Linked DNA regions of Schizosaccharomyces pombe. The gene in region 1 interacts genetically with each later gene. Each region holds a gene or a part of one and is shown on either strand. Other genes may lie near its edges. The genes, in order: ppk11 and pmo25.

Evidence for each region.
Region 2: of ppk11 (region 1) and pmo25, changing one enhances a phenotype caused by changing the other (phenotypic enhancement), as found in Schizosaccharomyces pombe (one study listed by BioGRID).

What each region holds. Positions count from the first base shown.
Region 1 is NC_003424.3:4,281,991-4,286,728, reverse strand, and holds ppk11 (PAK-like kinase Ppk11), read left to right. Parts: upstream 1-2,174; 5' UTR 2,175-2,275; coding exon 2,276-3,214; 3' UTR 3,215-4,238; downstream 4,239-4,738. Other genes in the region: UBX domain protein Ubx2, read left to right, coding at 528-1,811; vma16 (V-type ATPase V0 subunit c''), read right to left, coding at 4,637-4,738.
Region 2 is NC_003424.3:4,703,860-4,707,716, reverse strand, and holds pmo25 (mo25 family protein Pmo25), read left to right. Parts: upstream 1-1,775; 5' UTR 1,776-1,797; coding exon 1,798-1,899; exon of another isoform or gene 1,900-1,954; coding exon 1,955-2,407; exon of another isoform or gene 2,408-2,492; coding exon 2,493-2,927; 3' UTR 2,928-3,229; downstream 3,230-3,857. Other genes in the region: kinesin-like protein Klp3, read right to left, coding at 58-211, 257-330, 539-638, 692-802; mannosyltransferase complex subunit Alg9, read right to left, coding at 3,396-3,857.

The DNA.
Region 1 (4,738 bases):
ATATGCATGGCTAGTAATACTTGTGATTCCTATGTAATTTATAATTAAAACAGCATGAACTGTAAAACTTTTTTAGTAGTCATCGTCAAAAAGCCATTTCATTGCTCATATAGACTAGCAAAGTTGTATGAGTATTACTGGGTTTGAAAAATTATATGCAAATTACTAAAAGATTTTCCAAGATTTCAGTATAAAGTATCAGAAAAAAGTACGAGCTTTTCAAGTCCTTACTGATTTAATTAATAGAGACTTTTATGACTGAGACCCTCTTTTCTAAAGTCATTATTTCTATGATTTCAGCAAGTTGTTTTGTTAATGTCCTTATCGCGTTTTCGTAAATTTTAAAACCTGGCAAAGAATATCAAAAATTATAAGTCATTTTCTCTTAAAATTATAAAACTTAAATTGGACAACTAATAAAAAATTTACTTTAAATTTGTTTACGTATGGGGTATGCGTATACCTCTCTGACTAAACCTGCTCTACTTGCCATTTACCAAGTACAGGTATAAACGAAGGTAAAAAAAATGGATGGAGACGAAGCTAGTTTAGTAGCCAACTTCTGCGCAATAACTAATTCAACACCTGAAAAAGCTCAAGAGTACTTGAGCGTTGCAGATGGCGATTTATCGACTGCAATCACATTGTTCTTTGAAAGTGGAGGCGTTACCGATGTGCAATCGAGCTATATAGAAGCACCGAGTCAGACTGAGCCTGTAGAAGAAATTCGTGCGCCTATTGCACCTACCAGAGAGGTTTTGGTAGACCCGTTAGCTGATATGTCAGCAGGAACTTCTATTATGGGCAACAACTTTGGATTCGGGGGATTTCCAAGAATGAATCGAAGACAAAGAAGGCGTATGGGTATTTTTGATCAATCTCCCTCTCAAATCCCTTTTCCATCAAGTAATACAGAAGACTCGTCAGAAGAGTCTGACAGTTCAAGTAGAGCGTCACGCCTTGCAAAATTGTTTCGACCGCCGTATGATATAATTTCCAATCTCAGCCTTGATGAAGCTCGAATAGAAGCATCTTCTCAGAAGCGGTGGATCCTTGTCAATTTACAGACATCAACGTCGTTTGAATGTCAGGTACTTAACCGTGATTTATGGAAAGACGAGTCAGTAAAAGAGGTGATTCGTGCACACTTTTTATTTCTTCAGCTTTTGGATGACGAAGAGCCTGGCATGGAGTTTAAAAGGTTTTACCCCGTTCGTTCTACGCCTCACATTGCTATCCTTGATCCAAGGACCGGAGAGCGCGTTAAGGAATGGAGCAAGTCGTTTACGCCAGCTGATTTTGTCATTGCTCTGAACGATTTTCTAGAAGGGTGTACCTTGGATGAAACCAGTGGTCGTAAAAACCCTTTGGGAGCAAAATCACAAAAGCCAGTCGAAGCGATGTCTGAAGATGAGCAAATGCACAAAGCAATTGCAGCTTCCCTAGGAAATGGAAACTCGACAACTGAATCTCAAGGCGAAAGCTCTTCACAGCAAGCAGAAAGTCATGGGGTGGCCGATGATACTGTTCATAAAATCGATTCAGCTGAATGTGATGCCGAAGAACCATCTCCAGGACCCAATGTCACAAGAATCCAAATTCGTATGCCCAATGGAGCACGTTTCATTCGTAGGTTTTCTTTGACCGACCCAGTAAGTAAAGTGTATGCGTATGTGAAAGGAGTTGCCGAAGGTGCAGATAAGCAACCGTTTTCTCTTACATTTCAGAGAAAAAGTCTTTGGACGTCTTTGGATTCTACTATCAAGGAAGCAGGGATCCAAAACACAGCTTTGCAATTTGAATTCCAATGATAAAAAGTTTGATGAGTGTTTTGCTTGCTTTTCTATCCCAAAAATAGATATTTTCCTTGTGGTTAAGTATAATGAGATACATCCTAATGAAATTCCACCGTTTATTTATTCATTACATAAAAAATGCTTTGGCATGCCAGTTAAGTAATAAACCATATATTAGCTGTAGAATTGACTAAACGTATATTTATATTACGCATCTACGAATACTACTAGTGCACGAAGTGATAAGTCCTTTAAAATATCCAGATAAATATTAATTGTTTAATATTTAAGTGCACTTTTTCTGTAGAAAGATCTCATACTCAAGATACAGACTCAAATATCCCTGTAAACATATCAGCCTTCGCGGATACCGACTTTACACGGAGCCATATGGCTGTTCCATATACGAAGTTCCAGGTAAACTAACACTATCAATCCTTTTTCTTTGTAGAATTCAATTGTATTTATTAATATATAATATGGAAAAACATCAATACCGGGATTTACAACTTATTGGACAAGGAAGTTTTGGATCAGTCTTTCGAGCTCAAGATGTTGAATCATCCAAGATTGTAGCACTTAAAGTTGTAGATTTAGATGCTACAAAGGACCAGATTGAGACTTTGACCCAAGAAATTAACTTTCTGATCGATCTGAATTCGGTTCACATTACGAAATATTATGCATCATTCGTTGATGGATTTCGATTGTGGATAACTATGGAATATTGCGATGGAGGAAGTTGTTTAGACCTTTTGAAGCTTTCAGGAACGTTCAGTGAACGTGTTATCGCCGAAGTTATGAGGCAGGTATTAGAGGCCCTTGTTTATCTACATGGTCAAGGTAAAATGCATCGTGATATTAAAGCTGCCAACATTTTAACTATGAAAGATGGACTAGTTAAGCTTGCTGACTTTGGCGTATCAGGTCAGTTGGAGAGCTTGCGTGACAAAAATGATGACTTCGTTGGTACGCCTTTTTGGATGGCTCCTGAAGTTGTAAAGCAGACAGGATACAATTACAAAGCGGATATTTGGTCATTGGGAATTACGGCTTACGAATTGGCTACTGGGGAGCCTCCATATTCTGGCATACATCCGATGAAAGTTCTTTTACTAATACCAAAGCATTCCCCTCCGTCATTAGAAAGAAGTAAGTTTTCACGTGCATTCTGCGATTTTGTTAGCAACTGTTTGAAAAAGAACCCAAAGGATAGAGCTACCGCTGAATATTTGTCGAAACACAAGTTCATCAAAAAGTATTGTCCCAACACATCTGTGAAGGAAGTTGTAGCTTCTTATGCGAAATGGAAAGAATCCGAGCTATTACCGGAAGCTACCCCCTATAATAGTACCATGGGTAATTCTGCAAACACCATTGATGAAGTTGTTTGGGATTTTGGAACAGTTCGGCGATAAGCAAACGTTCACTTTTTTTCTTGTCTTTTTTGATCGCCTTGTATTGCTATCTTACATCAGTTAAAAAATACGGTTTGGAAGCAATGTATTTATACAAGTTTTTATTAACAAAAATTCTCATGTTAAGGCTTCTTACCCATTGAGCCGACTGGCTTTTTTTTCCGAGTTTAACAACTACTGTTCATATGTTTTTTCTTCTCTTAGACCTTGATTTAATACATTCAATATCGATTTGTGATAGCATCGCAGCCCTATATATGACAGATTAACCTAATATTCGTTTGATTGCGACGAGTACCAAGATATAGAAGACGCACATCTTTTTATCCCTTCTGTACTTGATATGGTTTGGGACTTTAAGCAATCGTTTTATATTTGATATCCTGATTTCTTTTATATCTTCGTTCCGACTAGTCTCAATATTAGGACAATACAACACCTGCTATGAGCTTTTACTAAGTGATGGAGTTACAGAGGTTAACAGTATTGGAAAACATATATTTATGCAATCTCCCGTAATTCCTTCATCCTGTCATGATACCGCTGATGTTTACCTGAGTGTCTCCAAATCGACTGTACAACTTTATGAGTTACTGCCATAAGTTGTAGCTGTTTTTACTTTACAATTCCATTATATCAACCATTTCTATATCTGGATAGCCCGAATCAGGTAGGAATTGAAACCTTTGAAAATATAGTATGCAAAATCAGATTTAAAAAAATACCGTTTTGTCATGATTGATAGCTTTTTGTCAACCCAATAATCAAGAATACTAAATCTGTAACCCTAATTTCCAGTTACGAAAGAACATGTGCAAGTTATACAAGGTATATTGTTTATTTACTGTAAACTTTGCTGTGTGGAAATGAGCTGGTGTTCTTTGATCATATAGAGAATAGGATAAATAGATTTGGATTCTAGTTGATCAAATGCAAAGAGATTGCAAAATTTATAAATTGATTAGAAGCATATTGAATTAAATCACAGTAACTAATTCCCATAAGACTGAATGAATTTGTCCGCAATTTGAGATAATAACATGCATATAGGTTGAAAAAGCATGTAGTTATATAATAGCTGAGTTTTTGGTTTCTTTAGCAGTATAATAGAGAAAAAATAAGTAATGAACTTATCCAAGTCTGAAATTCTGCACTGGATCAGGAAGCCAGTTGGTCAATCAATCGAAACTGATTATTCAATAACAGCACAATTTCTATAATTTATTTCATCTCAAAAAATGAAGCATTCGCAAGAAAAACTTGTAATAATTATCGTTATTTATAAAAATACCAAATAAGCTGTGCAAGCGCTTAGAAAAGTACATGGAAATATTAAAGGTAAATAAGGAACGGCTGAACGGAAAAAAACTTGTAAATTTATGCATTTACAGTTGTATGAAAAACAAAAAGAATTGTTTATAATTAAGAAAAATCACTAGCTTTTCCACCAATTAACAATCCAACGATCAATCCAAATAATCCCAAGACACTTCCGAAAATTTCGACAACAAGAACTTTTACGAA
Region 2 (3,857 bases), 420 kb from region 1:
ATTTTGCTGAAATTAAATACGAACGTCGCAAAATTTCTACGGCATTTGAAGGCTTACCGGAAAGTAGATCATGAATTTTTTCCATGTAGATTTCCATGTATGATACCTTCACTTCGTATTCAGTAGTAGATGGTGAATCGCGGATTTTGTCAAAAATACGCCTGAGCATTCTTGGAGTCATTCCTTCTTTTTCGAAATTATTTTCAATACCCTAAAGATTGTTAGAAAAGTGTGCCAGGTGAAATTGTGAATATACCATCATGGTGTATGTTTTGCCGGATCCTGTCTGTCCATAGGCTAGTACTGTTCCGTTATAACCCAAGAATAAGTCTATAATATATTAGTACATATTTAATGAAATTCAGAACAACTTGAATGTGATTCGAACAATGTATTAAAATGGCAATTCGTTTCAAATGAAGCGTCAAAACGAGCGCATATAAAAAAAGGCTATGCTATAATTTCATACAAGCTGTTGCTGACAACGATGAAATTAATCCGTTCAACGCCGTGTAAAGTTTTACTATCATTCACATACCATCGACTGTCGATTCAATTGAATACGAAAATATATCATTCTGAGTGCTAGAAGGATGAAAAACACGATCGAATACAAAGTTTCCTGAGTAATCACTAGTCTTTTAATCATGTCAGCCGAATTCTAAAGTAAAGATCAATTGTTGAAACCTACCTCGATATGAACAGTAGAATCGTTTAATGGGTATATCACATTATTTCCTCCAAGGTCTTGTTCCAACTGGTTCGTGGGCCGAATTCGGCACACTACTTTAATTGAAGTCATTGAGTAAAACTGCTTTATAAAAAGATAAAAAATCAAATAATGTATGATTAAAACGCAGTATATAAATTAGATCCATACATCCAAAAAAATCATTAAAGACAATATGTGAGCGGGCTAATTTCATATACAGGGAAAGACGAGGTTAACCTAACATGGTGCCTCTACAATAATTGTTGTTTAAGGCAACGTATCAAAAACAGAATAATATCATGTAATTAACTACATAATTGTTTAATGTTAAAGCTCGAAGTGTGAATTAAAAAAAATAAATTTACAAATCAACAGGCTAAAATTGTTTACTTCCTTCTACATATTCTTTTTTTCCTGATATTATTTGAAGATTTACACATGTATAAAATTCTTAAGATTGTTCAATCTTGATTCATATTTTAAGCAGAGTATTTTACCCTTCGTCTGATTAATATCTGTGACGAAAATTGGATTGCAATTTCTCACATATTTATTTATGAAAATTTGATTAAATGGTAAGAACGAGAAACCTCGCAGGTATTTATTTATTTTTTTTTTTAAATTAAATAATTTTTTTAAATTGTGAAGTTTATATGGAGATTTGGATGTATTTGCAATTTACAAGTTTATCCCAGATACTATTTCAAACATTAGCATTAAAAAACGTTTGTTTTACTACTTTGTATTTCTACTAGCTATACCAACCTACCAATTCATTTACCGAAGAGAAAAAGGTATGGAAAATGCATAATTCATAAATAGATCTACTTAGTACACTTGCTATCATCTAAATGCACCTGCGTTTCAATACTTGATTACTTATGTATAATCGAGATGTAACAACCCCCACATTGGTATCACTTCAGGTATAAGTAAAGGTAATTTGAATACTCAAGAAGTGTACCTTAATAGTATTCAACTGAATATGAAAATAGACCCCCACTGTGGACCATCGCCTGGCACCCACTTTACTTACCCTGTCATATGCCATAAGTTTTTAGAGAAACCGAATTCCATAATTCCGCATGTCGTTTCTGTTCAATAAACGACCAAAATCAACCCAAGATGTTGTTCGCTGCTTATGTGATAATCTCCCAAAGTTGGAAATAAACAATGATAAAAAGAAGGTATTAATTATTAGTAATTGTTGTTTTTGTTCGTTTAGATGACTAACGTAAACAGTCCTTTGAGGAAGTTTCCAAATGTTTACAGAATTTACGGGTTTCATTGTGTGGGACAGCTGAAGTAGAGCCTGATGCTGATCTCGTATCAGACTTATCTTTTCAAATTTACCAGTCGAATTTACCTTTTTTACTCGTTCGATATTTACCGAAATTGGAGTTTGAGTCTAAAAAGGATACAGGACTAATATTTAGCGCTTTACTTAGGAGGCATGTAGCATCGAGATATCCCACTGTTGACTACATGCTTGCGCACCCGCAAATCTTTCCAGTATTGGTCTCATACTATCGATACCAGGAAGTAGCTTTTACTGCTGGTTCTATCCTTCGTGAGTGTTCCCGTCATGAAGCCCTTAATGAGGTACTTTTAAACTCACGAGATTTTTGGACATTTTTTAGTTTGATACAAGCCTCTAGTTTTGATATGGCGAGTGATGCGTTTTCGACTTTTAAGGTACGTATTATCCCCAAATAAAACTTCTGTCGTTGCAATGTTTTTATATACTCCCGCTAGTTTTGCATTTACTAACTTTAATCAGTCTATTCTTCTTAATCATAAATCCCAAGTTGCTGAGTTTATTTCATACCATTTTGACGAGTTTTTTAAGCAATACACTGTCCTTTTGAAATCTGAAAATTATGTTACCAAACGTCAATCTTTAAAGCTTTTAGGGGAAATTCTTCTTAATCGTGCTAACCGTTCAGTCATGACACGCTATATTAGTTCTGCTGAGAATCTGAAACTAATGATGATTCTGCTGAGAGATAAGAGTAAAAACATTCAATTTGAAGCTTTTCATGTTTTTAAATTGTTTGTTGCTAATCCTGAAAAGTCGGAAGAAGTAATCGAAATATTAAGGAGGAACAAATCAAAGTTGATTTCTTACTTGTCAGCTTTTCATACTGACCGGAAAAATGATGAGCAGTTTAATGATGAACGCGCATTTGTAATAAAACAGATTGAACGCTTATGACTCTTGTTACTCACCAATGTGCTCATGTCTTTCAAAATCATGCTGTTGTCCATCCTATATTTACAAAGGAAAAAAAATTGTAGATTAGATTTATTAAATGATATATGCGAGTTGAAATATTTGATGCATGAGATACGGATGCTTTAGATATTAGCATTAGGTTAATTGCTAACCGATTCCATGAATAAAAGAACTTTATTATTTCATGTACTAAGACTTCCTAAGATTGTCTGACATCGCCAAGTCAACCGTTTAGATAGATTATTTGACACTAATTATTAATTAAATATCTGACAAATTGGAAAATCAAATGTAAAATAACTTCGCATTTTTTCTATGTAATTGAGTTTCCACAGCCTTTTCTTTCTTCTTAGAGAATTTAAAGCTTTGGACATATGCTTGCAAAGACTTTTACAATTTTTAGTAATAACAACCTAAGAAAGGCTTACATACACTCTCTTAAAAATTTTAAGCTTGTTGTTTAGAGGCACGACGCAAATTTGAAAAATCAATCTTGACCGGCTTTTTCACCAATATCTCATATCGGCCCCATTTAGGCTCAATAAAGGGGACAGCAAAAGCTCTGCCCATAAAAGGAGTTTGTTTCGTGTCAATGAAAGGGTACACCATGACTGGAATCCAACCGTCAGACTTTGAATATATCGGTTCGTTGACTGTGGCCTTCGAATGATCAAACTCTAAATCTATTAAAAAATCGCAAGACTCAAGAGAAGTATAACGAGTTGGCTCTTCATTATTGAATTCATTCATGTGTTCAGGGATCTGATAGTAGCCTTCACGGTTCCACCATGTTGAATTAGATTCAACGAATTCACCGGGTAAAATACCGTCAAACTCACTCTTTACAAATTTTAGGCGTGAATTATCTGGTAAAAAGAAAGTAGAAGGGTACCTATACCATTCTTTACC